7 linked regions of the Mus musculus genome follow. The protein of the gene in region 1 interacts with the protein of each later gene in a pairwise test. Links are inferred from orthologs where the notes say so. Each region holds a gene or a part of one and is shown in the gene's direction. Other genes may lie near its edges.

Region 1 (3,500 bases):
CTGAACATCAACGGCATTGACCTGACCAACCTAAGTCACAGCGAGGCTGTGGCCATGCTGAAAGCCAGCGCTGCGTCTCCGGCCGTCATCCTCAAGGCCCTGGAAGTGCAGATCGCCGAGGAAGCAGCCCAGGCCACCGAGGAGCAGCCGAGCGCCTTCAGTGAGAACGAGTACGACGCCAGCTGGTCCCCGTCCTGGGTCATGTGGCTCGGGCTGCCAAGGTACCAAGAGCTCTCTCGGTCTGATGTCTCAGAGTGAGCGTGTTTTAACTTTTATCAGTTACACGGTTAACTCACCCAGTGCGTAGAGAGGGCGTTAGTTAGGTAAAGTGCACCAAATTATAAAAGCAAAAAAGTGTATCTTCTTGTAAAACGAAGACAATTCCCTTTAAGGAGGGATTTTTGTTTGTTGTTGTTTTGGGGGTTTTGTTTTGTTTAGTGTTTTTGAGGGGGGGCGGCACTGCGTCTCCCCCTTGTACATGGGCTGAGAGTCCAGGCACACACCACCACACCTGGCTTTTCTGTTTGGGCTCTGGGAATCCAGACTCAGGGCCTCACACTTGTACAGGAGAGTTTCTGGGGCAGGGTCTCACTCTGTAGCCTAGGCTAGCCAAGAGCTTAGAATCATTTTGTAAAAAGGTAGTTAGAACTGAGTCTGTACTGAACAAAGGAGACGTGACCAGCAAGCTGCTCTCTGGCTGGCCGGTAGGGACCAGGGAAACGTTGGAACCTCCCTGGCACCCTGGGGTGCTTGCCTTTCTCCAGATGGTTGCTGCTGGTGCTGAGATAGGAAGAGCGTGTGTTACTGTGCTTATTTGTGTCTAAAGTAATTTAGATTCTCATTATCTATAAAAAGCATGGTGAAGCATGTTTGACTATTAGCCAAGTACGAAGCTGCTGGTTCCTAAATAAAAATAAACCAGAACGCTGCACCACTTTCTGAGTCATCTGCCTCATGTGGGGTAAGGTAGTGTACAGCCAGGAGCGCTTCCCGCACGCTGTGCGCTCCGTGAAGAACTCTCTCATGAGGAACAGCAGGTACCTCCGAGGGGTTGCGTTCATTCGCTCCTGCCCCAGCTCTCTGGCTGGCTCCCGGGAGCTCTTGGTGGTTTTGTTTCTTGGTTTTCAATCCCAAGGCCTAGAAGTGATGTCTCGCAGACGTGGCAGGACCTTGTGGAGTGGGATTGATGATGGGAAAGTGACCTTCTTGTGTCCTGCATGTTTATCAGGGCATCAGCCCTGGGAGTCAGAGGCTGCAGAGATGGCTCTGTGGATCTGAGCACTTGGCGTTCTTGCAAGGGCCCCTGGTATGGTTCCTGGCACCCCCATGACGGCTCCCAACTGTCTGCAGTTTCAGAGGCTCCCACACCCTCTTCTGTCCCCGCTGGCACTGCACATACATGGTGCACATATACATACATGTAGGAAACAGACATTCACATAGAATGGATCCTTTTTGAAAACCGGGCGCAAATGATTACTATCCCACTGCTGCAAGAGCTACTGTCTAAACCAGGGAACTCAGGAGTCTTGTTCAGCTGATACCTGGGTAGTCAGGTTCATCCCAGAGTGGCTGGGAGACAAGGATGGAACCCGAAGACACAGGCAGGTGGATCTCTGTTATTTTGAGGCCAGCCTGGTCCACATAGTGAGATACAGGATAGCCAGGGCTGTCTCAACGACAAAACAAAACAACAATAAAGAGGTTAGAAGCTGTTTGCCCGGACAATGGGGGATCGGTCAGAATAGCAACCTCCTAGGAAATCCCGGGACCCTGGTGCTGCCTTTAGCTGGCTCTGTGCCAGCCTGGTTTGGGGGCTGCATGTTCTCACTGTTGTGCATTGCATTTTATGGCACGCCAGGCATAGCAAGAAAGGATTTGTGTCATCTGTGTGTGCGTGTGTGTGTGTGTTTGTATGTATCTGTGTGTTTGTATCTGTTTGCATCAGTGTGTGTGGTGTGAGGGTGTGTGTGTGTGTGTGTGTGTGTCCCCGTCCACGAGTGAGTGTGTGTGTGTGTGTGTGTGTGTGTGTGTGTGTGTGTGTGTGTGTGTGTAGGCTGAAGATCAACATCCGCTGTCTTCCTTGATGGCTCTACACCTTTGCTTGTTGAGGCAGCATCTCTCACTGAACCGTTTGGCTAGGCTGGTAGCCAGTGAGCTTTTGGGGTCTGCCTAGCGCTGCTGCCCCCGCCCCGTGCCCAGCACTGTGGTTACAGATGTAAGTTGCCCCATGTCCGGCTTTTTTTATGTGGGTCCTGTAGCTTACCAGGCAAGAACTTTAGCAACTGAGCCAGCCCCTCCCCTCAGCTCAGAAAGGGTTTTAGACAAGTTGTCACAAGTTGACAGTATAGTGAGATACATTTTTGAGCTTGCCTGAATGGATGCCTATACATATAGGCTATTGTGTGGCCTGAGTTCCCCTGCACTGCCCTGCTACACCGGATGCTGGCCTGCTTGCTGTAAAGGATGCAGAGCTATGAAGGTGACTGTACTGTGCCTGAGGATCTGGGCCAGGGGTGAGACTTCCGGCTTGCCAGAGCCTCTTTAGAAGTCCCTACCCCTGAGCTAAGGGTTGTGGCACCATGCTGGAGGTTGTTTGTCATTTGTAGCAGATTAGAAACCAGATAGCCTTGTCTCTGATATTTGTATTAGTTCCGGTGGGGACAAACAAATCACAAGCAACATGAGGAGGAGGAGGAGGAAGGCTTGTTTCACATGTTGAGGCTGTGGCCATCAAGGCAGAGAGGGAGGGCTGGCTCTGAGGATGGAGCCTGAGGCAACTGCTAGTCACCGGCATCCTGAGGCAGATGGTCACATGACATCCTGAGGCAGCAGAGATGACAGCTGGTGCTCAGCACACCTCCTCTTTGTCCCTTTTTATTCAGTGTGGGACTCTGGGGTGGTGGTATCCACACTCAGGGTGCATCTTCCCAAAGGTGAGTCTCCCAGGTAATTCCCAACCCAGTCAGGTTGATGATGAAGATCACTGCATACCCGATTTCACTTCCCAGTGAGGACTTTTTTTTTTTTTTTTTTTTTTTTTTTTTTTGGTTTTTCGAGACAGGGTTTCTCTGTATAGCCCTGGCTGTCCTGGAACTCACTTTGTAGACCAGGCTGGCCTCGAACTCAGAAATCCACCTGCCTCTGCCTCCCAAGTGCTGGGATTAAAGGTGTGCGCCTCCACGCCCGGCTCCCAGTGAGGACTTTTATTAAAAGGATTTCACTTTGTTTGTTTTTAAGATCTTACTTGCTGCTTATTCCCAGGTTCATAGACCGCTGGACATATAAGTGTAGTGTGCCCCCTCCCTCCCTGGCTAGCATCCTCCAAGCCATGAGTAGGCAGCACTTTGCCTGTAGCATCTCTGTGCTCATGGAGAACAATGTGTTTGTTGGTGTTCTCCAGGCCGAGCTGCCGTTAGAGTCTCCCAGAAAGGTGTGAGTCCTTGTGAGTCCAGGGGAAGGGACAATATCAGCCCCTCCTCTAAATTAAAGCACCACCC
Region 2 (4,300 bases), on another chromosome or scaffold:
GTGGTGTTTATATTACTTAACAAAGAGGTACTTTTGAATGTTAATAGTTCTGTGAAACTCTGCTCAAATAATAAAGTCTTAAGATTTCATGCTATGTAAAGGCTACAAAAAGTTGAAATGTGATTATATTTGCTCTTTAGATATTTGGGAAGCTGAGAGACTGCCATTCATATATTTAAAAAAGTGCTTCAGAATATACATGCAAATTTGGCAAATGGTGTTGGTTTTCCCTATGGTACTATGAATTTTTAAAAAGACGTTTTAACAAATCATAGGTTAATAGAAAATCTCTAGTTTTGTAGTTAATTTTCCTTAATAATAGAAATAAAGTTTAGATTAAGAAGTACATGGCAAAATAGTGAATTTTTCTTTAGCACTGAAGAGCAGTTACAAAGGGGTAGTTCCAACAGTACCTGGAGAATCGGTCTACGTGAATTCCTACCTAAGCTATTAAGGAATAATAACTAAAAGATGGTCATTTATCTCCTACAATGGCCTTTCAAATGCAACAGGAAAAAAGCCCAAGTAGAGGAAATTATGCCACAAATTTTGGTATTACATTGAAAATGATCAACATTTAATTGTTCCTCCTCTTACATTAATCACATATCTGTTTATTCCGGGGAAAGTGGACACTGGTCCCACCACCCCACGCACTATGTTTATGCATAATCAGCCCCAAAAGGTAGAGATAATAGCATAATTTAATTACAAATAAAGGGCCTACCTACACGTTGCCATTTGTAAGCAATTCTTTTGTATAGACACATAGATCAACAGGATTATGCACTTTAAAATGTGAGGTAACAAGGCATTTAAAAATAACCAAGGTTTACGGCTACTGCCCTGCTATCACTGACTGCATAAACACTGCAATTTAGCTGAAAATATATGGAACAGACGGGATATTTTTGCAACGGTTGAATAAGATATTATGATGCCAGAAATACAGCTGTCCCCAGGCAGTTAAGCGCTCTCCATTGAGTTTCTTTACTGTTGCTTTTGAGTAGGAGATTGCTTGGTACTGTAGGTCACTGGTTAGGGTAAAGGACCTCACTGAAAAATTCATGCACACTTTGCTAACGTGGGAGAAAAAATAGTGGTATTTTGGAACTGTTAATTGGAAGAAGGGGCATAAAAACATGCTTTTTTTTTTTTTTTTCTTTTTTTAATAAAAAGGTCTTGCCTGGCTCTTGCCGATTTAATGTAACAAACCCGCGGATAGTAAAAGGTATATAACTTGACAAGCTGGTGCTGCCGTCTTGTCCTTCACCGCCTTTTCTGCATGATCAAACCTTAAATTGTTTTACGGACAGCCCCCAGCCGTAGATCCGTGTCTTCCTGGGTTTTCTAGGCTCCTTTACCACTACCTGAAGAGATGGAAGTCAGCCAGTCCTAGCACGAGATCCCTGCTCCGCCCCAGCTGCCCTCTTCCAACATGGCGCCCCAGGAGGCGGGTCCCACATGTCGGCTCCCCGGGTTCCGGCGCCATCGCGTTTTGGTTCCGGAGTAACAGCGGTCTAACGGCCGCCTTCCTCCTCCTCTCGCCGCCACCTCCGCTGCCGGGACGCGGGCCTCAGTCGGACGATCCTGCACGCGCCGCGCCCTCCGGTTCCGGCTGCGGTCCGGGACCCGCCCCTTGACCCCGCGGCCCTGGGCCCCCCTGCCTGGTTGGAGGGCAGGCGCCACCGGTGCACCTCCGAAACAGCCCCGACCCAGCCCGCGGCGCCCGGCCACCGTCCCCTTGCCCACCGAGACACTCAGGACGGCAGGACCCTGGCCACTGTACCTGCCTTAAACCAGGCCGTTGCTCCGCTGTCTCCTCTTACTCACAAGGACTACAGAATGCTTGTGGGTTCTGTTTTGTCCACTTTTGTAACTCCAGGACCTTCCGCTCTCTACTAATTCCTCTTGGCCGGTCCCCCAACAGTGCATCCTCTCCTAGGGACACTCCACACGACCTGGGCCTGGTTTTGGGCCTGCAAGCTCCCTCCTGATCGCTCCTCTTCACTTCTCCCCATCTTCTTGCTCCCTATTTATCGCCTGCCTTCTGTCTATCGTTCCCCTTGTCACTTCTTGGGGCTCCTCCTAAGTAGGGGCAGGTCGGTACCCCTCGCCCCAGGATGTGAGACCCTTTAACCTGTAATGCTGTGGCTGGCCCTTGGCCCCTTCTGTGCCATGGAGAACCAGGTGCTGGTGATTCGGATCAAGATTCCAAATAGTGGCGCGGTGGACTGGACCGTGCACTCCGGGCCGCAGTTACTCTTCAGGGATGTTCTGGTGAGTGGTGACTTTAGTGGCCAAATCCCAGCGTTGGGGATTATGGATCTGGATAGGCAGCATCTTGACCATTGGTGGCCTGAGCTGGCCTCTGGTGGGGTCAACTTACCTGTTTTAACCACAGTCTCGGTTAATTGCACTCACTGAAAACTGGTAAATGTGCAGCGCCCTGGGAAATTGATGTATCCGACTGAACCCCTGCCCTCAGGAAGCTCACAGTCTGGACTGTGACTTACACACCAGTGCAGACAACTGGGATGTAAAGAGTTTTAAAACTGTTTCTTATATTTTTCTCAAGTATTTGGAAAGGATTCCTGCCCTCATTCTAGCCCTGTCACTGCTGAGTTTCCTGAACTTGTGACCTGCTGGGAAAGGGACACCAGGGCAATCTTAGTTTACAATGGTTAAGCAAACCTTAGATGCCACTGAATGGGAGACCTAGACTTAACTATCAATATGGAAAGGATGCTGCCTGTTAGAACTACAGCACATCATTCCGTGACAAACACAGCTCAATTTCAGAGATGTTGAGTGTTCAGGGAAAATTTACATCTTAGAATCAACAGTGCATTGCCTTGGGATGCTTAGAATATATTTCACACAAAATTATGAAGGTTAATGTAGGCTGGCCCTTGAGTCCATATATAATATATACTATAAAACATTATGTATGTGTGTGTTTGTCCTGAATAGAGAGTAAAAGGACCTTCCGAGGACTTGCTCCTGAGGTTGAGAGTCAGTGCCAAAACTATAGCTTCCTTACTTAGTATATGAGTATATGTGTGTGCAGATGTGTGTGCGTGCATGTGGAGATCAGAGATCAGCCTCAGATGTGCTCAGGTGCCATCCACCTTGTTGTTTTGGGATAGGGTTGGCTGGCCAGCAAGCCCTGGGCATTCGCCTGTTTCAGCATTCCCAATGTTAAGATTACAAGCACTCATGCCACCAAGCCTGGGCCACCTGTCAAGCACCCACTTCCTAGGTTTTTTGTTTATTTGTTTGTTTTTGTTTATTTTTTATTTTTATTTTTTAACATGGGTCTAGAGATTAGTCTCAGGCCCTCATGTTTGCATAGGAAACACTTTGCCAGCTGAGCCATCTCCCTGGCCCCCAAATTTACTTTTGTTTCCTGTAGTGTCCCCATATACTTCAGTCCACGTGCATCTTTCTAGTCAGTTGACATTAACAGGGTGACATATATGTATGTCCACAGTAACTCAGCAGGAGAATTTGGTGTACGGGGAAGAATGTTTTAACAGGCAGATGTGCCGTCTGACTTACAGGGACTATAAGAGAACACTGAGTGGTGTCATTTACTGCCTTGGGTTGATAAAAAATGAAATGGTGGTATCTATAATTTCATTTTGAAAGCTAGATGCTCGTACCACCAAGGCCATGCTTGGGTCTAAGCCAAGCATGTGGCACCTTAGGTGAGCTAGCAGCCTCCAGTCTTTGACCCCGAATGGCATCCCTTCTCTGCAGCTGGTGCTCTTCACAATATGCACAGTGCTAGTCTCCTTTCCTCATAAGGCCCCACAGTCCTCCTTGCTGTCCTCAGGCTCATCTTGATTATCCTGGCACCTATGTCCTCTCTTGCCACATCTTCTTGAGCATCCTGTGTCCCAGGTGTACAGAGCTACTGTCAGTACTCCCAGGTACCCAGGCTGTGCCTCCACTTTGCCTTCTTTGTCTGGCTCTCACCCACCCTTCCCTGCCATGCCTCACTCTCCCTGTGTCAGTGTTTGCCAGGTGGCTGCCATGGTAGTCCTATGTCCATCCCTGTGGCAAAGCATGCATTCAGGATGATGTGCTTGTCTATTCTAGAATGTAAACATCTGGAGGAGAGAAAGAGCTCTGTTTCTGTTGCGTCATAGCATCTGAGACTTGAGGAGGGGCCAATGGGTGCTTGCTGTGTGAGCCTGAACTTGGGTACAGTCCGTGGAACCTATGGTAGAACCAACTCCTGAATGCTGTCTTCTGATTTCCACACACATGGCCATGGCATGTATGCATCCGTGTT
Region 3 (2,313 bases), on another chromosome or scaffold:
CCGTGGGGGATATAACTAGCACTTCTAAATCGGCTGCATCTCAGATTTACCTGTTGAATTTGTGCACCCAGATTGGGAGCTAGTGGAGCCCACAGGAATTGAAAAAGTTTGAATAGTTGACTTGTAGGTCACGTAGCTTCTGAACCCGAGAAAAGGATAGCTTGCTTTGTCTAGCTGCCACTTGTTTTCTGTCAGCAGTCATCTGTTCTCTTCTTCCACAGGAAAATGTTGGAACTCTTCAAAAAGCACAAGAAGATTCCCAGGTAAGTTGAGGGCCTCAGCTGGTACAGGCTTGAGTTAGTCACATGGGCTTTGACTCTTGGGTGCGTGGTTGGAATTTCTTCACATGCCTAAACCCTCCAGTTAGGCAGGCAAGCAGTTTCTCTCCTGCCATTCAGGGCATTGTAAGCCATCCTTTTCTCTATTCAGTGATCATTTTGAGAAGGGGGTGGGGTGGGGGGGTGGAATATAGAATGTTATCCTCTATCTTTTGTCCAAAGTTAATGAGAATTTGATTAATATATTCTGAATCTCGTCTATAAATATTTGACTAAAAGTTATTAAGTTTGGTACACTGGAGAAATGGCTCACCTTGCTGCTTTTCCTAAGGTTTAGTTCTCAGCACCCACATGGAGGCTCACAACCGTTTCTAACTCCAATTCCAGGGGGTCAGCACTGGCCTCTGTGGACATATGGTACACCTACGTACATGAAGACTCTTGGATATATAAGTCTGCAGTAGAAAAGTGCATTGGGTACAGTTCAGTTTTGCCTTCTTTTATACAGAAATGAATTGCTGGAGGAATTCATGGACACAGCGAAAGCATCCGGTAGCACTGCTCTGGCCATTGAGGTTGTAAAGCTGGCAAGTGCCTTCAGCTTGCCTATTGGGGAGAGCCTTGCCCAAAGAGTAGTGATGGATTTCACAGTTGACCCAGAACAAAAGTAAGTCTATCTCCTCTTCTGGTGCTTATAGCATTCTCTCCTGCTTCCCTTACAAAGCCAGGGTTTGGTGGGTGATGTAATGCCTGTTTGCTCTGTTACAGGCTTCATCATAAACATTTGGTTTTTGGAATTTTTTCTTTGTTCTCATAATAGTTCAGTGCAGTTTGGGGGATCCTTTTTCTGCTTTGAAAACTGCTATGACTGTGTATAATCAAAGATGCCAAACACCCTGACCCTGTGAGCTGAAGTGTGGTATCATTTCTCTTCCTTACAGAGAAGCCCTGGGTAACCTCACTGAACTGAACAGTAGCGATGGAGAAAGCAGCAGTGACAGTGACAGTGACGACAAATGAGAGAGAGAGGTGGCTCACAATAGCTGCTGGAATGTTAGAAGTGGTAAAAATAAACAGATACAGGGCTGGGATCCAATATAAGCTCTGTATTGTATTGTACTGGCCTAAACCTAAGACCCTGGGGTTCATCTGCAGTACCGCTAAGATGCACATCTGGCCAGTTTTTTGCCAAGACAGCAACAAGCATTGTGAAGTCTGACTTTTGGAGAAGAACAAATTCCACATAAACACACTGTTTGCAGGCCTCATTCCTACTACGCCCATCATGTTAGAACCCACAGGCCCTTGCTGCCTACCTGCTCTGTGATGTGTGGTCCTTTGGCCTAGAGACAAGGATTCAAACTGGTTTTCATGGAGATGGGTTATTACTGTTGAGTTGATCGTATCCCGTTTTGAGAGTACTTAAAAAGATGGATGCTCTTAGAACTAATTAAATCAGAAGCAAGCTACTGGTTTAGGCTGCCCAGATGGTAAAGTCATTAAATAAAGCAATTGTGTTATTTTTAAAAATCTAATTCTTTGTAAGCGTGTACATATTCACATGGATGCCAGAGAACAATGGTTATTTCTTCAGACAGGCCTTGAGACTGCAGGTTCAGTTAGACTGGTTGGCCAGCTCTGGGAATCCACCTAAGTTTCATACATACACAGTTTGTCATCTTCTAACTAGAATACTCAAAAATTTTAGGGACGATTTGTACAGCTCTTGGAATAGAATACCCAAGAATGTTTAGGGGATAGGAGTGGTACAGCTCTTGCCTAAGATGATGAGGTCATCCATTTCCACCCCACTGCCACAAAACATTTTGGTCTGTGTGGGCACTTTATAAGTAAGTATTCAAAGAGATCTGGAGGGCTAGTAATGACAAAAGGATATGAAATGTCGTAACAGTATGTTGCCACTGAGCAACTTGGTGTGCTTCTTGTAAATGATACTAATGGAAAGGAGTTACAAATTTGCGGTTTGCAGGGTTCACCAGCCCATGCACTCACTCCTCCCAGGTTTTGCACTGAG
Region 4 (4,244 bases), on another chromosome or scaffold:
CAGAAGACAGTCGAGGTTAGCATACACCTGAAATCCAGGACACTGGACACGCCCAGTAGTGAAGCTGCTCACTGTGAATGCCAGCTGAGGAAACCCTGCTCTGGATTCAAGGGTTGGGCAGGGGAATGATTGCTTGTTGGTTGAGACAGGGTCTCAATACATAACTTAGGCTGGTCCCAAAGTTGCAGCTCTGCCTCAGCTTCCCAAGTGCTGGGATTACAGGCTTGCACCACCATGCCCCCCACTACATCCAAGTCTTGTTCAGTCCCTTCCTCCTTTCAGCCTGTGCCTTCTTGGCCTCCAGGGTTGCCTTGAAAGGACAGATGCCAGAAAATGGAGAGAGGATGGGACCAAGGACAGGAAGGATAGGCCTTTTCTGAGCAGGAAGATGGACTTTTAGGTAGGTTTATGGTTAAAAACATGAAATACCGCTCAGTTGGGGAAGATGGAAGGGCTCTGTGACTGGGTTTTGGTGACAAGATGCAACATTGAGAATGTACTAATGCCACTGAATTGTATGTACCCTTCAAAATTGCTTGTTTTTTTATGTATATTTTACCACAATAAAAACAAACAAAAACCACAAGAATACAAAGCTGTTCTTTAATAAGTGCTGTAAGCATTTTGCAGTTTTCTAGGGAAGAAAAGAAATAAGCTACTGGAGAATGGGGCAGCGGGCTGGCATGTGAACAAGACTGCCCCAGTCTGCTGAGGGGCCTTCTCAGGCCTTTGTTCCAGGGTTCATCAAGACAGTCAGCTCCAGCGCTCAACCCATAAGGGAGTATCCCTTCTCTCCCACCTCCGGGACCACAGAGGTCTCTTGTCACTCAGTGTGCTAGGTAAGAGTTCAGGAGACCTTGTTTTAGTCCGGCCTCTGCAGCGGGCCTATTGTGTGCCTCGGAGCAAAGCCGTTCTTTTCTGGGCCTGTTTCCTGCACAGTACATAAGGTAGGACTCAGAAGTTTTCCAAACCTCTTCCTATCTGCCCACTGCAAAATTCTCTTCCTGTAGCGACATGTCAAGTTTATCCTGTCTAATCCTAGCAAGAATTTCTAGAGATCTCCGTGGTCTGCCCCAGCAGTGGCACCGAACTCTACAGCGCCATGCCAGGAAGGCCTTTGTCCTTCCAGGGTGCCAGTAATTTACCCTCACAGGGTGTCACGTTATCAGCGCAGAGACAGCAACCTGCTCGGGCGTGCCCCGCCGCAGTTTAGAGTCCCGCTCCACCTGGCGGTCTGGGGACACATTCCTGGGAGGGAAACCTCGGGCGTAGGAGAGAAGGGCGAAGTCCGACCATGGATCAGCGGAGAGTATCCGCCCGTGATGACGTGAACTGCAAGCTATCTCGCTTGCAAGTTCCGTAAACGCCCGGGAAGGGAGCTCCTGGGGGCGGGACCAGCACTGAAGCCCCACCCAGAGCTGACGTCGCGGGCGGAGGCGGAGCTAAGCGCGCAGCATCTGGGTACTGGCTGACCGCTCGGCGCCATGGCCGCGGACACGCGCGCCAAGGCCGTCACTCTGGACCTGAGACGTCGGCTGCTCAGGTACCGGGTGTGGGCTCCGAAAGCGCGTATAGCGCCCACCCCGAGTCCCTGATTTCCCCGCCTCCCTCAGCCTACTAGAAGCGGCCGTGAACCACCCCGCGACTCCGGGGCGTCCCCTGTCCCGTGGAGCGAGCTTTGCCCCTGGCAGCCACCTGCATAAGGAGCTGGGCCTGGCCTGGGGGGCAGTCATGTCACGGGCAGGGTTACAGGAAGTCTGCTCTTGGCCTGTGAGGAGTATCCTCGGTGCCACGTGGAGAGAAGCTTATGGTTGGAACTTAGGACTGGAGCTAGCCATTACTAACGGGGACAGCAAGGCCACTGGGTTGGCAAGGAATGTTAGGGGCTGAGATGCAGCTCCTAACAAGGGGGTTTTCTTCAGGAAGCCATTCCGAAGCCCTTTTCACTGGGACTGGAGGAGTCTCAGTGTGCAAGCAAAACTGAGAGGGCCACAAAGGCTTAGTTTTGTCTCAGAAACTTTCTGCTCCGTCCTGTTCACAGGAATGGGGAGGCAGGGAAGTTCCACCGTGCCCTGCAAGCTTTTGTCCATCCCAGAATCAGGAAGGAGTGAAGGGGGCTGTAATGAGTGGAGGTCAGTCTTCAGACAGGGTTGTCGATCCTTTGCCTGTCCCCACAGCTCTTCCTGCAGACTCTTTTTTCCTGAGGATCCTGTTAAGATTATCCGAGGCCAAGGGCAGTACCTGTACGATGAGCAAGGGCGAGAGTACCTGGACTGTATCAACAACGTGGCTCATGGTCAGTATGACGCCTCTCACCCTTGGTGAGACAGGGGAGGAGGCTGAGGCCATAGATCTGACTGATAGCCTGGGTTGAACAGAACTGAATCGGATGCTCAGGGGGGCACCCCAGTCTTTGTGAAAAGACTCCACACCATAGCTGTGCTAAACCAGGCAGGCCTGAGAGGTTCACATGCCAAGGTCCAAGCTGCACGTCCCACGTGGAACTCACATCAAACCAGGCATATATACAGTCCACCCATCCATGACCACAAATGTAGTGTGCTCATCTTGGCCTCGTGCAGGGTGCTGACAGCAGGCCTTCACCTCTATTGACTACTATAGGGGTAATAGGAAACTTTAGTATGAATTCAGCCAACTGGGCTACCACAGCTGTTAGAAGGCACATTGCAGGCAGGTAAGGGTTAAAACCCAGGACTCTCCCAGCACTCAGGGCACAGAGGCAGGGGGGTCTCCTGAGTTAACAGCCAGCCTGGCCTACGCCTACATAGCAAGTTTCAGGGACAACTAGGGCTTCACAGAGAGACCCTGTCTCAGGAGAAATGACTTAATCCTGGGCCTTTTTGGTAAACTCACTGCCCGGTGTTGTAGGTAATTGTGTTAATTATTGCTACCTTGCTTTGACCATGTTGGCACGTGAGCTCTAAGAATGCAGATGCCATGGCTGACCCTCTGACAGTGCCCCTCCAGCTGAGTCTCAAAATACCTCTCTAAAAACCTTTGTTTTCTAGATAGCATTTCTGACCCTCTTTTCCTTCTGCTGGACTCTCTTCTGGGCTCCCCCGCCCCATCATTAACTCCCCTCTTTCCACTTTGCCTTCGTTAACTTCGTCTCCCCTGGATGGGTTTGCAGATAGAGCGGAGGGGGCATCTGGTGGGGCTGGCTGGGTGACGTCGGCCACTTGATGCAGATGCCCCTCTTGCAGTTGGGCACTGCCACCCTACCGTGGTCCAAGCCGCACATGAACAGAACCTAGTGCTCAACACCAACAGCCGCTACCTGCATGACAACATCGTGGACTATGCCCAGAGGCTGTCGGAGACCCTGCCGGAGCAGCTCTCTGTGTTTTACTTCTTGAATTCTGGGTAAGTGAACAGCAGACAACATGCTGTTGAGAACAAGTTCAGAAAAGAGAATCATCCCTGTGGGTGCAGTGCAGAGAGCTTGGGAGCGTGGAGCCAACTTCATGGCGAGGCTCCTGGGCTTCTAGGTTGTAGATCCTAGAGCTCTTTCTGTTGGCTCCCATTTCTTCCTTTGTAGAGGACACCACCGCCTCCCTTCTAGGCACATTGGGACTTAGTGAAGTAATGGGTTTATTTATTCCTTGTGGATTCAGCCCTCAGGTGGCTCAGCAAGCTTACAGGACACCAAGTAATTCTTCAGAGAAATGTAAGATTACAGAGAACATCTAGTGGTTCCTCAGAGAAATATAAAAGTATGGCAGTGTCCTTTTCCGAAGCAAGAATACTAAATAATGAAGCCTAGAAGCAAGCAGCAGGGGACCTGACTTGACTGTGCCTCTGTGTAGATGCTAAGAGCTCCTGGGGAGGTAGCTAGGGGAGATGGAAGGAAGGAAGGGTGCTGTCACTTTGGGGAAAGTCTGCTTGTCCAGGTTGGTCACCACCTGGCACAGCCTGGGCAAAGGCCCTGTGGCATGAAGGGGCAAGGAATGTTGTCAAACCAAACAAAAGAGGAAAGAGTGAGCAGGTCCTGGGAAAGGGTCCAGGGCTACAGTCAAATGGAAGGAGCTGTTTTTATCTTCAGGCCACTAGAGGCCAGGCAGTGCTGGCAGACATTTTTAATCTCAGCAGAAGCAGGTGGGTCTCTGTTGAGTTCAAAGTCAGCCTGGTCTACAGAGGGAGTTTCAGGACACATAAAGAAACCCTGTCTCAGGAAACAAAAACAATGAAACACTAGAAAGCTCCTGGTTGGTTTTGTTTCTCCC
Region 5 (3,500 bases), on another chromosome or scaffold:
CTTAGTTTTAAAATTTAAAAAAAAAAGATTTTCATTGAAGAGCTCAGTTCACAAAGCCGGTTATGCCAACATCTGTTTAAGTGGAATAAACTAATACCTTATAAAGGCATTTAAATAAAGTAATTTAATTCATCTAGCATATATTTTAGTATCTGTTGATAGCAGATAACTGCACCAGGCATGTAGGAATATCAATTGGAAACTGAAGTGCCAGCCTCCATGTTGCATCTATTTTAGTGGGATAAGACAGATGATAACTAGATTTACTGATTATATATAATATAAACTATCTACTCTAGTCTCTGGTCATGGTAGCACAGACCTTTAATTCCATTACTCAGGAGGCAAAGGCAGAGGCAGGTGGATCTGTATGAGTTCAAAGCTAGCCTGATCTACATAGTGAGTTCTAAAACAAGTAGGGCTACATAGAGACCCTGTTTCAAAAAACAACAACAAAAAAAAAGATACTGTAGTCGATGATGAAAAATGGTCCTGGGATTATAAACTATAAAGGAGACAGTAAGACCTAGTATGGAGACACACACACCGATAACCCCAGCACTCAGCAGCATTGCATGTTTGAGGCCTGCTCTGTGAGGTGAGTTCCAGACCAGCCAGCGCTCCCTACTGAGATTTCTATCGGAAGAAACTAAAAACTGAAAATACATAGATAAAAGAAGGGAGGTAATAATGAGGTAGACTGTAAACTTAATGAGTGTTTCCTTAACCTTTGAGGACTGCCACATACTTTTTTGGTACCACTCTTGAGTCTATAGAGCCTGAGTTCTTTTTGACCTGCGTTCTTGTGACTGGAGTTTATGTGGCTTTCAAAGTAAATAATTTTTGTAACTGATCCTTGGAAGTACGTGTTAGTCTGAAGAGAGCTTTCAATTCGGAAGCCCCTCTGGCATATAGGAAAGCTTGTGTTAATGTTCCTAGTAGAGAATTCAGAGCAATACTTAGTGATACAAACCTCTATTCAAAGTCATCTTACCATCCTCTGGTTCAGAGTATTTGCCCAGGAGTGCAAAGGTTATAAAATGGCAGAACTCAAAATTTAAACTTATGTGTCTGATTTAAAGCCAGTCCCTTCATACCACGTGTGGAATGTCTTTTGGTTGAGAAACATGCATAGCCTAAACTGCCAGAGTGAAGGGAACATGGCTCAGAGGCAAGCACTGACCAGCATGTGGGAGGTACTGTTCTCTTAGTACCCCAGAGGGAACGAAATGGGAAGACACAAAAATACAAGTGGAAATGTATGGTGGAAAAAGCCAGGAGAGACTTAGGCCCACTGAGTGTCCTTCACCAGTTAGAAAGTCACCCTGGCACCAGCTGTTACCTATTAAGCAGTTCTGACGTCACACCCCTTCCTTTCTGAACTACAGAAGGCTGAATTATGATTGGGATATAGATAAGTCTTGTATGGGCAGTTTTATTTTATATTAAATAATATTAAAGCCAACTGGGGTATGATTTTTTTTGTTGTTGTTGTTTTGTTTTTTTCAAGACAGGGTTTCTCTGTATAGCTCTTGCTGTCCTGGAACTCAGTCTGTAACAGGCTGGCCTCGAACTCAGAAATCCACCTGCCTCTGCCTCCCAAGCACCGGGATTAAAGGCGTGCGCCACCACTGCCCAGCCAACTGGGGTATGTTAAGATCCAGGGTTCTTGGGTTTCTTCTTTTCCCCTGGTCATATGGAGGACTCAAACCTGGGACCTTGAGCATGCTAGTCAGGTGCTCTACCGCTGAGCTGTGCTCCCAGCCAGGTGTGGTTTACTTTTAATTCCTTAAACCAAGTAAACAAAACGCTTGTATTCTTCTTGTATGTCTTATGGCTTGGAAATGATTTCTTTATGTAAACAGTTGGTGTTTGCCTCGTGATACATTGGAATTTATTTTCTAATTTTGACTACTATAAGGAAAACTTTAAATGCGTTTGAAGTTAACTTATAGACTCTTGGATGCCCTGTCTTGTTTTGGTAATACTAAGAAGTCTTCTATGTGGTAGTTGTTTGCAATAACCACCATCATTTCTTAGAATGTTTTGTTTCGTGGCAGCTGTTGTCCTTCGGGGAGAAGCAGTGTGTGCTTGTCAGTAAGGTGGTGGTGCACTTGAGGCCACGGTCTGCAGATCCTTCACCGCGCTCTGCTGCTCTGGGATCACGGATAGACCTTGACAACATCCAAACCATAATGGAGTCCATGGGGTCCAGGTTATCGCCTGGAGCGCAGCAGCTCATGAGCATGATTAGGTTTCAGCAGCAGGCAAGTAGAGATATATTTTACTACACTTTAAAATGCCATTTTGGGGAGATGGTTCAGTGAGTAACCCTGAGGTGGGATTCCCAGAGCCTGGGTAAACGGAGGCGGTATTAGTAAACATGTCTGTAATCCCTGTTTCCCTACAAAAGGATGGGAGGTAAAGGGGTGAGATTCCCTGAAGTTCACCACCCACTTGATAGGGTGCATACCTTGTCCCGAAGAATGGAAGGTGAGAACTTGAGGCAATTCTCTGACTTTAGCTCTCCCCTGCTCCCAAACCGCGCGCATACACACACACACACACACACACACACACACACACACATACACACACACACACAAACCCCAAAAGCCAAACAATTTTTTAAATGATGGCTTTAATATGGTAATATGGAATATTCATATTTTTTTATTAATTTCTACTACTGACTTAACTGTCATCCATTCTTAATTTTTGTAAAAGTTGCATTTTGTAGACTTGCCCTTCTACAAAATGTTCTGACTGAATCTTCAGTTCTTCCTCAGATCATTGTAGGCGCTCATTCAGTAGTGAACAAGACTCTGGCTTGCTCCCCTTTGAGGGTATAAAGGTGATCAGTTAGAGTGTAGCCTATAAGCATTCTATGTGGCAAATGATGAGATTAAGAAAGGTATATTGGCCAGACTTTAATCTTAGCACTTGGGAAGCAGCGGCAGGTAGGCCTCTTGATTTTGAGGCCAGTCTGGTCTACAGAATGAATTCAGGACAGCCAGGGCTACACAGAACTGCCAAGAAAAAAACCAAGGTCACATTTCATTTGGGTAATGGAAGAGGAAGGTGGGTGAGTCATGGCCACCTAGAGGCTGGTTATTTTAGAGAGACTCTAGTAATGGGTATGATCCTCTGTGCTGGAAGGAGTCAGATCCAGCTCAGAACGAAAGGGAATGAGTAGACAGGAGAGATTTGAAGATTTGTGCTGGATCATAGAGAGCTTTGATGCTATTTTAAGTGTGTAAATGCTTTTGGCATGTTTTAAATTTTAAACCACTATTATATGGAAAGTAAGTCAAAAGAAAGCAAGACTACAACCGAGAGACCAGCTGTATGTGACTTCCCACCCATGAGAGGTGATGTGGTTTACAGTAGGTGCCGTAACGTAACGTGTGTGACGTAACGTGTGTGCCGTAACGTGTGTGACGCTGGGTCATGCGATTGCTGGGCCAGGAAGCGCAGAGTCGTTGAGACTAGACAGTTAA
Region 6 (4,133 bases), on another chromosome or scaffold:
GCTTTGAGGATACTTAGTAATTTTCGAAACCCTGGAAAGAGAACATTAAGGCCTCTAACTTGAGCCCATTCAATCAACTCCCTTCTTCCTGCTCAGTTCCAGCACATTGCCACAGACTCACCTAATGAATAAAATCATTTAACTGGAAAAACAAACAAATCCCCTTGCTTCAAGCAAGTGTCTGAGAGAGGGAGGCACTGTCTAAAGACTGACATTCTCTTAGTCTGTCCACCCTACAGCCTGTCCTGACAGGATGACCAGAATGTCTTCAGCGTCGTCTGAAAGGCCCAAATCCCACGCAGATTTTACATACACCTTCTGTCTTAGGCAGGATTTCCATTCCTGCACAACCAAGAAGCAAGTTGGGGAGGAAAGGGTTTATTCAGCTCACACTTCCACATTGCTATTCATCACTGAATGAAGTCAGGACTGGAACTCAAGCAGGTCAGAAAGCAGGAGCTGATGCAGAGGCCATGGAGGGATGTTCTTTACTGGTTTGCTCAGCTTGCTCTCTTATAGAACCAAGACTACCAGCCCAGAGATGGCCCCACCCACAATGGGCCCTTCCCCCTTGATCACTAATTGAGAAAATGCCTTACAGTTGGATCTCATGGAGGCATTTCCCCAACTGAAGCTCCTTTCTCGGTGATAACTCCAGTCTGTGTCAAGTTGACACATAAAACCAGCCAGTACACCTTCATTCTTTTGGGACATCAGCTCCATGCAGTTTTCACCACGATCTTTGCAATTTTGTTTCTCTTTTGAAAATCCTTGAGACAACTCCCTTGGAAACAGAAGGGTAATTCTTTCTTCTGGAGGGATGCGAGGGAGCTGTGCCTTACTGAAATTCCTGTCTTGGGATCACAAAGAACTAGATACTGTGTATCAGGGAAGGACAACATAGTTCTCAGGATTTTCCGCTGAGCTATGCAGTCTGGCTTTTCTAGACCTACTGCGGTGGGCAGCTGGCAGGGCGTGTCCAACACACCTTCCAACTCTGGCACCTCAGATCTCCTAATTACTACATTTCTCCAAACCTCTTTTAGTACAAAATCCTCTCTCAGAATAGAAAATAGGAATCTCGTGTGAGGACATTTTTCATGAAAAAATAAAATCACACACACACAAGATAACCCCAATTCCTCATACAGTACCCACCCATTCCTAACTTCTTTTTGCAGCGTGGACAACAATAGAGAACTACAACTCCCAAAAAAGACTGCGCTCGCCACTGGCTCAGAAACCAATGGCCGCCTGGCACGTGATCGGTTGGTCTAATCAGCGACTGGTTGGGTAGGCTTTGTCTAAGACCCGGGGCGCCCGCCTATCTCCCGCCCCCGGCCGCGCGAACGCGAGCCCCGCCCTGCGCGCCTTCCCTCCTGCGCTCGCCGGCCTCTTCTGCCTCTTAGAACCTTCCTGCGGTCGTGCTTGCATCTCGCTGCTGCAGCCTCCCGGGCTCCGGTCCATCCTTTCAGTCTGAGACCGGCCCAGAAGAAAAAAACCCCAAAAACCTTAATTTTCTTTCTTGTTCGGTACCTACATTGGAACCATCAAAAACAATTATTTCAGTAAACCGTAGCCATGAGGGAAATCGTGCACATCCAGGCCGGACAGTGTGGCAACCAGATCGGTGCTAAGGTAAGGACTTTAAAATTTTAGCTGAAATATGTAAAGATGAGAATTCTGTGTTAATTGTGAGCATTGTTCACGGAGTTCTTGCATTCTCCACCCGTCAGATTTGGCCCCTCAAAGTTTTTCACGTATAAATATAACCCATATTTGTAGCTAGCGTTCTGATATTGAAAAATGAGGAAATGTTTTTCTTGGCACATTTTCGGAAAGCTAATAAAAGAGCCTTTCGAGTTTAGGGAAAAGGAGAGGCTGAGGGACTGTGAAGAGCTGGTCTTAAAAGGGGTTTTCTAACGGTTCGAGGACTGGAGGGATGCGGAAACGATCCGAGACAAAGCCGAGGCGAGGTTTTCCCCTTGCGCCACCCCCACCCAGCCTGGAGGGCTCTACTGGAACAGAATGGAGGGGGGAAGGGGCGAGGTTTGGCGGGCAGCTGCAGAGGTGCCCGGTGCGCATTACCTCTCAACAAAGGCTTGGACACTCCATCGAACCCGCCATCCCAATGCTTTTTTTAGGTAATGACTCTGTATAGGGGCCTACTTTTACTTTTCATTGCCCTTTAGGGTGTGAGCGGTATGAAAGTGAGCTTTTCAAATATGTGAGACTGTCTGGGAGACTAAGGAGAGGGAAGGAAGGGAATAAAGATAGGCAATGGGGCTTTTTAAAGATTTTTCCCCCTTTTTTGCTAGCAATTAACAATGTAGCGGGGGAGGGGAGGGAGGAAGTGCGGCCGCTAAATTGTAGCCGAAGGGTGGGACCCTTTGGGGGCGGGGTTGGAGCCCCTGGCGCGCAGGGACAATGCGGCCCCTACCCGCGGGGGCGCACTGGCCCCGCCCCTCGAGCTAGGCCCCGCCCGCGCTGCTCCCGCCTTTGTGGTTTGCTGGAGGAGCGGCCCGCCACCGCAGTCACGTGGAGCACGTAAGGGGTGGGCGACTGCAGTGGCCGCACCTTTCTCCCCCAACTCTTTTGTGCTGGCCTGGAAGGGCGGTTCCTGGCTTCAGGAGCCAACCTGGGTGCAAAGCCAAATAGGTGGGCTCCAATCCGCCCACATAGAGGTTTATAGCGCCTGACCCACCCATCACCGGTCCTATGCCGAAAGGTTTTAGCCTTCCATCGCGTAGGTTCCTCCATGGGACTTCCGCAAGCAGATAACGGAATTGCAGTGTCTTCACCTCAGCCTCGTTTCAGCGTGTCTGGAATTGAAATGAGGGGCGGGAGGCATGCCTTAGGACTTGAGACATTGAGGCCTCGTTGCTCTTCCCTGTGCAGTTCTGGGAGGTGATAAGCGATGAACATGGCATCGACCCCACCGGTACCTACCACGGTGACAGCGACCTGCAGCTGGACCGAATCTCTGTGTACTATAATGAAGCCACAGGTGAGGGCAGAAATCCCCACTTAACATTTATTCCCTGTCCCCTGTATTGGACAGTGAGCCCAGATGAATGCATCACTGGCTGCCCTGGAACTCCCATAGATCGTCTACCTCTCAAGTGCTGGGTTTAAGGAGAGCATCACCACGCCCTGTTTTTCCACACTTCTAAGTATCTATTACCCCTCTGCATGGTTCCCATTTTTTTTTCCCTAGACTCACACCCTAAGGGACTAAAGATTAGCTCTACTGCCACCAGGTGGTAGTGCCTGGAATGACAACTTTAGTGCTTTGTGGCTGATCTCCCACCCAGAGGTAATGCATTGCTGATCCGTCAAACATTGACTTGAATTCCTGCAGGTGGCAAGTATGTCCCTCGAGCTATCTTGGTGGATCTAGAACCTGGGACTATGGACTCCGTTCGCTCAGGTCCTTTTGGCCAGATCTTCAGACCAGACAACTTCGTTTTCGGTGAGTTAGGTGGAATCGATTTCTATTTGCTCAACTGAATTATTCCAGTCGTTGAAAGATTAAGAAGTATTTGTGTTTCTCTCATATCTTAGTGATTAAACCTTTTCCCTTACTGCATTCCAGGTCAGTCTGGGGCAGGCAACAACTGGGCTAAAGGCCACTACACAGAGGGAGCTGAGTTGGTTGACTCTGTCTTGGATGTGGTGCGGAAGGAGGCGGAGAGCTGTGATTGCCTGCAAGGCTTTCAGCTGACCCACTCACTGGGTGGAGGCACTGGCTCTGGCATGGGCACCCTGCTCATCAGCAAGATCCGGGAAGAATATCCTGACCGTATCATGAATACCTTCAGTGTGGTGCCCTCGCCCAAAGTGTCTGATACCGTGGTCGAGCCCTACAATGCCACCCTGTCTGTCCATCAGTTGGTTGAGAACACGGATGAGACCTACTGCATCGACAACGAGGCCCTCTACGACATCTGCTTCCGTACCCTCAAGCTCACCACGCCAACCTACGGAGACCTGAACCATCTCGTCTCGGCCACCATGAGCGGCGTCACCACCTGCCTCCGTTTCCCGGGCCAGCTTAATGCTGACCTTCGAAAGCTGGCTGTCAACATGGTGCCATTCCCACGTCTCCACTTCTTCATGCCTGGCTTTGCCCC
Region 7 (3,500 bases), on another chromosome or scaffold:
GTTCTGTGACCTTTCCACTATCTCTGTCCAGACACAGGGAAGGGGGCCAGCCTTCCATCTGCCTGCTGGAATTTAATGGCAGGTTCTGCAAGATCTTGTTTGAGTCACGGGGCCAGACAATGATAATCCCCTGTGCTTCCCTCTGATTGTGTGTCTACATCGTGTCTTGTTCCTGGGAGCTGAGCAGAGGGCTCCTGTCTCCTGGCCTGTGACTTGTGAGGGTAGCCTGGCAGAGTTGGGAACTGTGACACTGTGACGTGGGTCGTGGAAGGTGGAGACAGGGAACTGGTCCTTGATTTTACATGTGTAGCATCCCTTGAGTCATCTCTCTCCCCTCGTTATTTCTGTCAGATTATGAAGATTGGGATTTTTTCCCCTCCAGTTCTGGAGACACTCTTGCAAACACTTAGTACTAAGCTACAGCCCCTCTTTAAGGAGGGCAACAAAATTTCTTTTTGAAATGTGGTTTCATGTAACCCAGGCTGGCTTTGAGTCTCCTATGTAGCTGAGGATAACTTTGAACTCTGATCCTCCTACCTGAAATCCCCAAGTGCTAAGATTTGCAGGCATGTGTCAGTATGCCTAGTTATGTGGTGCTAGAGACTGGATTCAGAGAATTGTACATGCCAGAAAAGTGCCCTACCAATTGAGCTACTCCACAGCCTGAGACTTTTAAGAGAGTGTTTGGTGAGCATATGTAAAGGACCTTGTTCTCTGGTCGTCTCCTTACATGTACCTGGTTCAGGATGAACTTGGGACCTCAGTGTCATATTTTCTATATAGGAAGACGTAATGCCTGCTCCCTTTTCTACAGAACCCCCTACTCTTCCATATCCACACCTTGGTGTGTGTGTGCGCGCACAAAGCTTGGATGCTGACAGGGGTGGGCTGTCCAAGAGACCTTCACTCTTTGCTTCCTTCTCTGCCCTAAGCAAGTAGCTGACTTCCTGGGAGTCCTGTCTTAGCTCACATTCTACACCCCCGTGTGACTTGGGTCTGGCCTTTGTGATAATGATACCTTAGTAGAAAAGGAAACCAGAGATAGACAGAGTGGGCTGGCAGCCCTGTGCCAGGCTCCAGTCATAGGTGTCACCCTGAGAGTTTTCCAGTTTAGTGATTCTCATGCTTCCACACATGCCAAAACTCTTCCCCGGGGGTGGGGGTGGGGGGCAGATTTCTTATTTCCACTTCAGATTCTAGGCTCTAGTCCCTATCTGAACAGTCAGGTGTCTTGGCACATGCCTCCAGGGCTCAGTAGCCTTCAGCCTGGCCACTCCCTAACCCCTGAGGCCCTTAACTAGAGCACAGCCACGCTCCAGCTTGCTTCTCCCTAGCCGGCTTTTCCGGTTAGAGAATGGAGGTGGTGCCCAGAGCACCCCTGTAGGGGGGCACACCCCGGAAGTCTTGAGCCTGGGGATACCCTGGTGGCAAGGTGGAGGTGAGAACCCAGCTAGAATAAAGGAGTACCAGAACGAATGTCACAGGCTTCCTCCTTCAGAGGTGGGCAGCCAAAGGAGGAGACTGGAGGACAGCTGCCCTGTAGTTTTTTTACTCTCACAGAGTTCTGAAGAGGGCAGGCAGTGAAAGATAAACCTGTGCTTTGGAGGAGGGGAAACGCTGTGAGACTGGGAAAGAGGTGAGTTCCGAAGGAAGCAACAAGACCCCGGCTAAGAGGGGAAGGGAACATACAACGATGCATAGATTCTAGAAAGTTCTGGCCAGGCTGAGAGTGCGTAGGCTTCTGAGCTATGTCTGGCCTCTCGGGGTTTCCACCAGGCACACCCTTGCTCTCACTGTTTGGTGTCTCAACCCCTCTTGTCTTCTGACTCCCATAGGCAGGATGATCCCAGTGGCGGAGTTCAAGCAGTTCACAGAGCAGCAGCCTGCATTCAAGGTGCTCAAACCCTGGTGGGATGTTCTGGCTGAGTACCTCACCGTGGCTATGCTCATGATCGGGGTATTCGGGTGCACCCTCCAGGTGAGGAACAAAACAAACCCGGGCAGGGCCACACACATTGGCAGTTCCTATGACTAGAGTTTTAGGACACACCTTCTTGACAATGAGTGGGATGTGGCAAGGCAGGGCCATGTTATGGCAATAAACTCTGTAGGTGAAAGAGCAGACAGGGGAGGGGGTACACGGGATCTGGCTCTCATTGTGGCCATATTCCTGACCATGCTAATGACTGGGGCCTTGAGCTGCTCTTTCCAGGTTAGGGGTGAGGCTGGGGATGTGAAGGTGTGACACATCTTGGCAACTCTCCTCATGAGTGTCTTTTTAAAAACACACATTTTGGCCGGGCGTGGTGGCACACGCCTTTAATCCCAGCACTTGGGAGGCAGAGGCAGGTGGATTTCTGAGTTCGAGGCCAGCCTGATCTACAGAGTGAGTTCCAGGACAGCCAGAGCTACACAGAGAAACCCTGTCTCGAAAAATCAAAAAAAAAAAAAAAAAAAAACCCACACAAACTTTTTCTTTTATGTGTATGAGTGTTGACCTGCATGTATGTATGTGTACATGCAAGGTACATGTATGCTTGGCACCTGTGGAGGTCAGAAAGAAAGGTTAGCTTTCCTGGAACTATAGATGCTTGTAAACCACCATGTGGGTGCTCAGAACCAAACCTGGGTCCTCTGCAAAAGCAACAAGTATTCTTAACCAATCTCTAGCCCCTTCAGTCATGAAGGAACTGGGCCTCACCATGGCTGCGTTCCAGGTGAAGGGCAGGACCATAAAGGGACGTGGTCTTAACATGACAATGCTCATGCCTGGGGTAGGGGGGTCTTCAACTGTGCTATGCATATGGGTAAGACCCCTCCATGATGATGAGACAGGGAAATGTGTTCAGCTGGGCTCTCTAGGTAAAAGAGCAGATCTCTAAAGGAGTAGGCCTTTTGCTTGAAGTCCTGAAGCCTCCCAAGTCTCCTAAGAAGAGGGAGAAAGAGCCTGGGCATGGTGGTGAGTGCTCTGTAGACAGAGGCCTGAGGATCACAAATCTGAAGCCTAGGCATCTTAGCAAGACTCAAAGTTAAAATTAAGGCCAGGTGTGGCAGTGCACACCTGCGTTCCCAGGATATAGAGAAAATGAATCAGGATCCTGGGTTCCAGGTCAATTGGCCTATACAGTGAGACCATCTCTAAAATAAAATAAATAACATAGGAAAGAAGAAAAAGTATCAGTATTAGAGTACTTGTCCAGCTTACATGAGGTCCCAGGTTCAATAAAAATCATCAATAAAATAAGAGAAACAGACAAGAGGAAGGCAGTGCCAAAGCCTCCACACAGACCAAGTCTAGTCCCCTACCTTCTCTCCTCCATCCCCACAAGCAGTGGTCAAAGTCTAAAATAATATTAGAGTGTTTCCATACACATTTACTTTTTCCTTTTTTGTGGCTTCCAGTGTTAAACAGGATTCTACTGCAGGGCCAAACTGCTAGCCCCTCACGGGGGGATTCTAGGTAGGGGCTCTACCACTGAGCAACACCCTAGCCCCTCTGG

What was found.
Region 2: the proteins of Lnx2 (region 1) and Map2k5 interact in binary tests that used the Homo sapiens proteins (3 or more experiments, as listed by UniProt). The link is inferred for Mus musculus from reciprocal best matches to the Homo sapiens genes LNX2 and MAP2K5.
Region 3: the proteins of Lnx2 (region 1) and Ptcd3 interact in binary tests that used the Homo sapiens proteins (3 or more experiments, as listed by UniProt). The link is inferred for Mus musculus from reciprocal best matches to the Homo sapiens genes LNX2 and PTCD3.
Region 4: the proteins of Lnx2 (region 1) and Phykpl interact in binary tests that used the Homo sapiens proteins (3 or more experiments, as listed by UniProt). The link is inferred for Mus musculus from reciprocal best matches to the Homo sapiens genes LNX2 and PHYKPL.
Region 5: the proteins of Lnx2 (region 1) and 2310057M21Rik interact in binary tests that used the Homo sapiens proteins (3 or more experiments, as listed by UniProt). The link is inferred for Mus musculus from reciprocal best matches to the Homo sapiens genes LNX2 and C10orf88.
Region 6: the proteins of Lnx2 (region 1) and Tubb5 interact in a two-hybrid assay, tested with the Homo sapiens proteins (3 studies listed by BioGRID and IntAct). The link is inferred for Mus musculus from reciprocal best matches to the Homo sapiens genes LNX2 and TUBB.
Region 7: the proteins of Lnx2 (region 1) and Lrrc8e interact in a two-hybrid assay, tested with the Homo sapiens proteins (3 studies listed by BioGRID and IntAct). The link is inferred for Mus musculus from reciprocal best matches to the Homo sapiens genes LNX2 and LRRC8E.

What each region holds. Positions count from the first base shown.
Region 1 is NC_000071.6:147,021,073-147,024,572, reverse strand, and holds part of Lnx2 (ligand of Numb protein X 2), read left to right. Parts: coding exon 1-221; intron 222-3,500.
Region 2 is NC_000075.6:63,375,103-63,379,402, reverse strand, and holds the start of Map2k5 (dual specificity mitogen-activated protein kinase kinase 5), read left to right. Parts: upstream 1-1,500; 5' UTR 1,501-2,145; coding exon 2,146-2,280; intron 2,281-4,300. UniProt on the Homo sapiens protein: Acts as a scaffold for the formation of a ternary MAP3K2/MAP3K3-MAP3K5-MAPK7 signaling complex.
Region 3 is NC_000072.6:71,880,138-71,882,450, reverse strand, and holds the end of Ptcd3 (pentatricopeptide repeat domain-containing protein 3, mitochondrial isoform 1 precursor), read left to right. Parts: intron 1-221; coding exon 222-263; intron 264-786; coding exon 787-945; intron 946-1,219; coding exon 1,220-1,298; 3' UTR 1,299-1,813; downstream 1,814-2,313. UniProt on the Homo sapiens protein: Mitochondrial RNA-binding protein that has a role in mitochondrial translation.
Region 4 is NC_000077.6:51,583,337-51,587,580, forward strand, and holds the start of Phykpl (5-phosphohydroxy-L-lysine phospho-lyase), read left to right. Parts: upstream 1-1,444; 5' UTR 1,445-1,484; coding exon 1,485-1,543; intron 1,544-2,177; coding exon 2,178-2,296; intron 2,297-3,209; coding exon of another isoform or gene 3,210-3,224; coding exon 3,225-3,384; intron 3,385-4,244.
Region 5 is NC_000073.6:131,356,227-131,359,726, reverse strand, and holds part of 2310057M21Rik (ATPase PAAT), read left to right. Parts: intron 1-2,060; coding exon 2,061-2,267; intron 2,268-3,500. UniProt on the Homo sapiens protein: ATPase that regulates mitochondrial ABC transporters ABCB7, ABCB8/MITOSUR and ABCB10. Regulates mitochondrial ferric concentration and heme biosynthesis and plays a role in the maintenance of mitochondrial homeostasis and cell survival.
Region 6 is NC_000083.6:35,835,502-35,839,634, reverse strand, and holds the start of Tubb5 (tubulin beta-5 chain), read left to right. Parts: upstream 1-1,333; 5' UTR 1,334-1,581; coding exon 1,582-1,638; intron 1,639-2,898; coding exon 2,899-3,007; intron 3,008-3,361; coding exon 3,362-3,472; intron 3,473-3,595; coding exon 3,596-4,133. UniProt on the Homo sapiens protein: Tubulin is the major constituent of microtubules, a cylinder consisting of laterally associated linear protofilaments composed of alpha- and beta-tubulin heterodimers.
Region 7 is NC_000074.6:4,229,827-4,233,326, forward strand, and holds part of Lrrc8e (volume-regulated anion channel subunit LRRC8E), read left to right. Parts: intron 1-1,180; exon of another isoform or gene 1,181-1,636; intron 1,637-1,835; 5' UTR 1,836-1,840; coding exon 1,841-1,978; intron 1,979-3,500. UniProt on the Homo sapiens protein: Non-essential component of the volume-regulated anion channel (VRAC, also named VSOAC channel), an anion channel required to maintain a constant cell volume in response to extracellular or intracellular osmotic changes.